Cricetulus griseus: one gene and its partner. The protein of the gene in region 2 purifies or fractionates together with the protein of the main gene of each other region. This does not show direct contact. Links are inferred from orthologs where the notes say so. Each region holds a gene or a part of one and is shown on either strand. Other genes may lie near its edges.

Region 1 (3,655 bases), on a different chromosome or scaffold from region 2:
CATAAACACTACAAATAAATACATAAAAAGGGCAAGCTTTATGCAGATATAAACTGCTGATCAAGGCATTTACCAAATTACATTTCACAGCATCACACAGCAGTCATCTGTACCAGGATCAGAGACTGTGCAGAACCACTCTGGTGGCCAATGGGACTACAGTGTTAATGCTGTCAACCAGACAGGTCTAGAATCACCTAGGGCTGCAAAATTCTTTCTTTTCTATACTGGGTTAATCGAGATGGGGCAACAGACCCTAATTGTGAGTGAGTGAGTGAGTGAGTGAGTGAGTGAGTGAGTGAGTGAGTGAGTGGCACCGTCACATGGGCGGGTCCTCAACAGAAAAAAAAAAAGGAAGAGCAATGAGCACCAGCATTCACCGCTGTCTCCTGCCTGCAGACTACCAGCTACTGGTGCTAGACTGCACTGCTCCTCAAACCAAGTCTTCTTCCTGAAGCTGCCCGTGCCAGTACTTTCTGAGGGCAACAAGGGGTTCTAGTGCACAACCCTGACTACCTGACCTGCCCGCACATTTCCCACTTTTCAAGTGTGAAGAGACTTAATTACCTCAATTTGCTCTGAGTTTCTCCTGCTGACATTTGTTCTTTACCGCAATCTCCCTAATGTCCAACCAAGTCCATCTCTAGTATAAAAAGTCTGTACCTGATATATTTTGCTAAAATATTTACTCTATTTTCTTGACAATAATTAAAATTCACTTCAAACTGAGTTTTCATACCCCATCCTGCACAACCCAACCTGAATTTCAAAGGGGAAAGCATGTGCCTCCCTCTGTAAGGCAGGCAGTACTCAACAACAGACGAGTCCTCAAGTGTTGCCTAACAACGAAGACAGTGCTGGGCAGCAGAGCATTTGCCTCACACACATAATGGTCATTGGCTCAACCCCAAGTACAGGAGCAAAAAATGCAGAAGAAAATCATACTGTTGGCCCAGTGTTGACTACAGAATGATATATATGAAGCTAGTAGTGGAGAGAGGGGAATTCTAATGACTTTAAAATAAAAAATTAAAGTCCCAAATAAATGTGGGGTGTAATGCTCACCATTAATCCCAGCAGACAGGGGACTAGGACCATGAAATAAGCCAACCTTAGCACCTCGGGTGAGAATAGGCTACAGTGTCAAGACTGTATGCCATACATTCTCCACCACTGTATTCTTTCTGCCTGTCTGCGGTAGCCCCACACAGAGATTTCCACTGTACTAACTTTGTAGGGGCTATCAGAAAGGAGCTAGGGACTACACATAGAAAGTCAAGGTCAAATCTACAAGCATTTGCAATGCATTCTGTGAAGACAGGAACTAAAGGACATTTTCATCACTGTGTTGAGTAAAGGGTTGTCAATACATAAAGACGGTGTATGGCTATGTTGTCAGAATTAAAGTTTTAATCTGTGAATTGAAGTATCTGAACAACAATGCTCTCTGAATGTTTTTTCTTCCTAATCTAACAGCAAATGCATGGTTTCTCTAGGCCCATGATTACAAAAAAATAATTCCAAATATAAGGCCAAACAGAATTAAAAATTTAGATAAAAGATTTGTTGACAGGTCTCACCATGCAGTCCTAGATAGCCTGGAACTAGCTATACAGACCAGGTTAGCCCTGGACTCACGAGAGTTCTGTGCCTGTCTCTGCCTCCCTAGTGTACATCAACTGCACCAATGCACTCAGCTAATGAAAGGTATTTTTAAAGCCTTATTAGCAGGAGGATGGATCTCTGTGAGTTCGAGGCCAGCCTGGTCTACAAGAGCTAGTTCCAGGACAGTCTCCAAAGCCACAGAGAAACCCTGTCTTGAAAAAAATAAAAAATAAAGCCTTGGTAAGGGGGCTAGAGATGGTTCAACTGTTTAAAAAAAAAAAAAAAATTGGCTGTTCTTCCAGAAGACCTGGATTTGATTCCTAGCACCAACATGGTGTCTCACATCCATCTGTAACCCTGGTTCCAGGGGACCTGATGCCTCTGCTGACCTCCACTGACATAAGGTACAAGTGGTGTGCATACACACAACATGTAGGCAAACACCCACACATGTAAAATGAAATCTAAAAATGTTTAAAGCCTTCTTTTATGTATATCCTATTCTAAGTCAAATCAGAAGAACAAGAACGTATAAACATTTCTGAACTTTCCTGTAAGTAATAAATGCTTAAAAGAATTACACAGAACCCATTCTACCAACAAACTCAGATACCCTAACCTTATTAGCATTCAACGATATACATGCAGAGGTAAATTATGGCCTCAATTTTAGTCAGAAAATTTTTTCTAAATCCCAGGGCATTACAGGTAAATAAAGGTTACTATTCTTGTATTTTCTTTATGCAAACACAAATGCTTGTTGAAAAGCAGTGTTTGCCAGCTCTCACTCTCACTAATTACTATGTACCTTCTAGGCTAATTCAAACAAGCTACAAATTCAATTTTCAGCATATGCTCCCCAAATCTCGTTCAAGGGAAAAGCCACACGAACTCAACAGTGTTCACTTTTATGTCCAACTGTGACTCCACTGACCATTGTTTCAGAGCAGAGCTGTCCCTGTACCTTTCAGCCCTATTGTAATTTTAAAATCAGCTTCAAGTGTGAATGCTGAGGATGGTGACAGTCAGTAGGCTGCCCGCATGCAGAAGTCCTGGGCTCTCTCCAGCCCCAACACAGAACCAGGTGCAGTCTCAGCACTTCTAAGTGGAGGCAGGAGGGTAAGAAGTTTGTCATCCTTGGCTTCACAATGAGTTTAGAGGCCAATCTAGGCAACATGAGATATTGCTTCAAAAAGGCTTTTTAAAATTCTAACCTTTAATACACTCAATATTACTTATCTCCTTAGGTAAGGTATCTACATTAACTTACTAACACTAGTAGACGCCTACTTCTGTTAGCTCCTATGACAAACCTGCTTCAGCTCTTTTAGCTCCCTGGGATCATTCTTCATGTGATAACTGGCAGGTGTTGCAACTGTGTTGCTGACGGTGCTGATTGAAGTGACAGCTGAAGCAATCCCTGGTGGAGTTTTACCCTGAGGTAGCATGGGAAAAATATTCTCAGATTCATACCAAACTGATTTCTCCTGTATGATATTGGGAATGACTAACACAAATAGCTTTAGCCTGTAAAACATTGACATCTTATTCCATAAAAATAATGCATAAGAAACAGAACATCAAAGCAAAACTGGCTTTTCGTATTATTTCTCACACAAAACTAGGTATGGCCTTTTGCATACTTCCACTTAAATGTATATACTTTAAAAACAAAAACAACTCATACTTGTCATTATCTGAAAAATATTCAGCTTCATGTTCTCTTACCTTTGATAACACTTGACGTGAACATTTTTCCCTTGAAAGCTAAAAACTGCTAATGATCTGTAGGCCTCTTTTATTCTCAGGGCCCCGTCACCTCCCAAACACACAGCAGGCCATTAAAACCCAAAGACTGATTAACACTCTGGTTAGCCTATCGTAAATCCACAGTTCCCAACTTACCTCAAGTCCTCTTAGTATAGTTAACATAGAGTAACTCAACAAGGTTGGCACAAAATAGTATTTAACAGACATCCAATCTATTCTGTCTCAACAAAAGTAGCATGTACTCTGAAATACAGAAGGCTCCTGACTCCTGCTCCATTCG
Region 2 (3,655 bases):
ATGCTGAACTAGCTGTTTTTCTTCTAAAGTAATGGTTCTGACCTTCCCTTCTAAAGCCTTCTCTTCATTCACATGAACAGGTGTTTTAAACTTGTCAGTGTTAAGTTGCAGCTTAAGTCTATAATTTCCATATACAGTCACTGATATCCCTCACCAAAATATTTAACCATTTTTAAAATACAATAGCTTTATATATGGGGGAAAAATAAAAGCCAACCAGACAGAGTCTTCCTTTGTAGCCCAGAGTGGACTCAACTTGGGATAAAAAGTGTGCTCAAACACACCTGGTTTTATGTGAAGCTGGGGCTGGAACCCAGGGCATTTGCACATGCTTGTACATTTACTAATTTCAGTATACAATTAAAGATTTTCACAACTTTGTTACGATAAATCTTTCCGCCAAAGCCGCCCGAGTTCTGCCCGACATGTGGATGGACAAAATAATGCAGACTTATATTAGGTACAAATGCTGCTTGGCCAATGAGTAGGATTTCTCATCTGCTAGCTCAGTTTTAATTATCATAAATCTATATATAAGACTTATCGGACGCCTTCCATTGGCACCCTCCCTTGCCGGTGGATCATATGGCACCACTGGAGGAGGTGAAGGGAAAAAAGGGGCGGACTTCCTGTTTTTCCTTGCTTAAATATGAGTCTCCTTGCTATGTCACTTCCTGCCTGGATCACCACTTCTCTACTACATTTCCCAGAATCCTCTTTGACTCCTAGTCCTGCCTAACTTGCTGCCTCATTGGCCAAACAGTACTTTATTTATCATCCAGTAAGACAAACACATACACAGAAGTACTTCCCCAATCACGTTGTTCAACCATCACTACTATCTAGTTCCAGAACTTCCATGACCCTGAAAGAATACTTCATACTTAACAACCAGTCACATAGCCATCCTAGAACACAGTTTAGATGCTGCTCTAGAGTGTTCTGTAAAATATTCAGTGTTTGCTAAAGTGATCATTATAGTTGTAGAACAGTTATATAAACCAACCTCTTTCTATGATATTGTACTACTGAGCTGAACAAAAGACATTTAAAGTTGAAGGCATGTTATCCAGCATTCAGTTCATCCTGCTAGTAAATGACATGAGAAACTAAGCCCTACTGAAGAAAAGTAACGTGGCTGTGTCAGAGCTGGGACCAGAATCCAGTTCTGTTGACATAGCTATGTTTCTAGAATCAGGCCATAAATCAGGTGCATTATTTAATGTGTTTATATTTCTGTTATCAGTGGGTAAGATAAGGTTTGTAACAGACAGTGTCCCTTTAGATGGACCCGATAGTTCCACTTTAGATGTGATAATGTAGCAGCTAGCTACTGAACAAGACTGGCTCATTATTCCGTATGTCAGTCTTGTTTATTGACTACAGAGTTTTCTCTGTTGACATTCTAATGTAAGTTGTCTTGCAGCATCTTAGGTGAGCAAAGAAAGTGCTTGTACATTTGTTACCAAGAGTCTTTCAGAGACGAGCTCACATTAACTTTGAATTTTATATTGGAAGTAACATGTATTTTCATGAGATTTCCTTGAACAGCATTCTTTTTTAATATTTATTTTTATTTTATGTGTGTATGGAGTGCTTGCATGTATGTATATATGCCATATGCATGCAAGCCTGATGCTCTCAGGGGATAGAAGAGGGTATCTGAACTTCTGAAACTCTAATTACAGCAAAGCTGCCATGTAGAGGTAACCAAACCCAGGTCCTCTGCAAGAATAGCAAGTGCTCTTATCTTCAGCACTGAGCAGTCTCTCCAAGCCCACATTCTTTATCTTCATACTCAACCCTGATGATCAGCTCATAGTAATGGGAGCTTGGCCCTTGAGATGAAACTAGAGGAATACAATATGTTAATGTCATCTTTCCTTACAGGACAAGAAGGAAATGGCCATCAATGACTGCAGCAAAGGTAAAACTTCTGTTGACTAAAAATATTGCCTCAGTGAGACAGACAGAGTTGGATATGTATTCAGGCGAGTCTCTCATACTGGGGCTTTTAAAGAAGCAGTTTATGGGATGACATTTTCAGAGGTACTGTGTGGGCATCATGTTAGGGTAAGCATGCTTTCAAGTGGATTTTCAGCCTATTATGTAGTCAATATGTAAAAACATTTGAAGCTACCTTGGCATCAGAACTCAAGTGTGGAACAGAATTTACCTCCCATAGCCTTCAAATTACCTGTCTTTGTGACTCATTGAGGATCTTAGTCTCTGAACTCACGCTCACAGCTGTTTAGGTATCTACATGTATGCATCATAGGCTAGAATCTATGTGTAGGGAGAACATAGAGTTTTTTTTTCTTTCTGAGTTTGAATCACTTCCCTTAATATTATACTTCCTAATTCCATTCATTTTCCTCAAGTTTTCTTTACAGCTGAATAATATTCCACTTTGTATATGTACTGCATTTTAAATCCCCATTTGTCTGTTAATGGGCTTGGTTCCCTATCTGTGCTAGCAGTAAACACTATCTCTGGAGCTCTCTAGATTTATGCCTAGGAGTGGAATAGAATAGCTGGGTTATATGGTAGTTCTGGTTTTAAATTTTTGAAGAATCTCCAAACTGAGTTCCATAGTAACTGTATTAATTTGCACCGCCAGCAGCAATGAATGAGGGCTCTTCCAAAGGTACATAGGACCGTTTCTTGTGATGACAGTTTCTTTTCTTTTTAGCAATTCAGTTAAACCCCAGCTACATCCGTGCAATATTGAGGAGAGCAGAGTTGTATGAGAAAACAGACAAACTAGATGAAGCACTGGAAGATTATAAATTGATATTAGAAAAAGATCCATCAATACATCAAGCAAGAGAAGCTTGTATGGTAAAACAAATTTTAAAGTATTTTCTTGGGATGGGTACAGTGGTGCTTGCCTTTAATTCCAGCACTCAGGGGGCAGAGGCATGTGGATCTCTGTGAGTTCAAAGCCAACCTGAACTATATAGCAAGTTCCAGATCAGCCAGAGCTATGTATTAGAGACCTTCCTCTGTCTCTCTCCTGCTACCTGCACCCCCCAAAAAAATCTGTTTCTTTTGCTTTGTACTCAGTGACTTTTTAGTCTTTTGGCCTACAACTAAATTCTATTTTTATGATTACCAAATATACGGGAGATAGATCTTTATGATGGCTACTTACTCATTGGGACCATGTACCATTTGATCTCCACTCTGAAAGTGACATGAACCAGCATGACAGCGCACTCCTGTAATCCCAGCACTGGAGCAAAAGAAACATAAATTTGGAACTAGCTGGACTATATAGAAAGACCCTATCTCAAAAAATTAATTAAGCAAAAACAATAAATGACTTGCATAAGCTTTTTTCTCTGTTGTATCAGGCATATTTTGTTACACATGGTTTAGTGAGTGTCTTCTAAAATTTTATATTACTTTGTGTGTATGAGTGCTTTGCCTGCATGTAAGTATGTATACCACATGGTACTCAGTGGCTGTGGAGGTTAAAAGAAAGCATCAGATCCCCTAGAAATGGAGTTAATGGGTGATTTTGAACTATGCTTTTGTATTGTCTGTCTGTTTGAAATAGTGTCTCACTCTAACTAAAGTTGATCTCAAACTCATCATCTTGCCACCCCTTATTTTGCGGGGAGGGAGGGTTGTTTTTGTTTTTTAAGATTTA

What was found.
Region 1: the proteins of Ttc1 (region 2) and Vapa purify together in Homo sapiens (affinity purification with mass spectrometry; 5 studies listed by BioGRID and IntAct, counting the BioPlex papers as one, with this or other methods). This does not show direct contact. The link is inferred for Cricetulus griseus from reciprocal best matches to the Homo sapiens genes TTC1 and VAPA.

The regions. Positions count from the first base shown.
Region 1 is NC_048595.1:454,539,505-454,543,159, forward strand, and holds part of Vapa (vesicle-associated membrane protein-associated protein A), read right to left. Parts: intron 3,042-3,655; coding exon 2,919-3,041; intron 1-2,918. UniProt on the Homo sapiens protein: Endoplasmic reticulum (ER)-anchored protein that mediates the formation of contact sites between the ER and endosomes via interaction with FFAT motif-containing proteins such as STARD3 or WDR44.
Region 2 is NC_048600.1:58,395,919-58,399,573, reverse strand, and holds part of Ttc1 (tetratricopeptide repeat protein 1), read left to right. Parts: intron 1-1,890; coding exon 1,891-1,927; intron 1,928-2,692; coding exon 2,693-2,841; intron 2,842-3,655.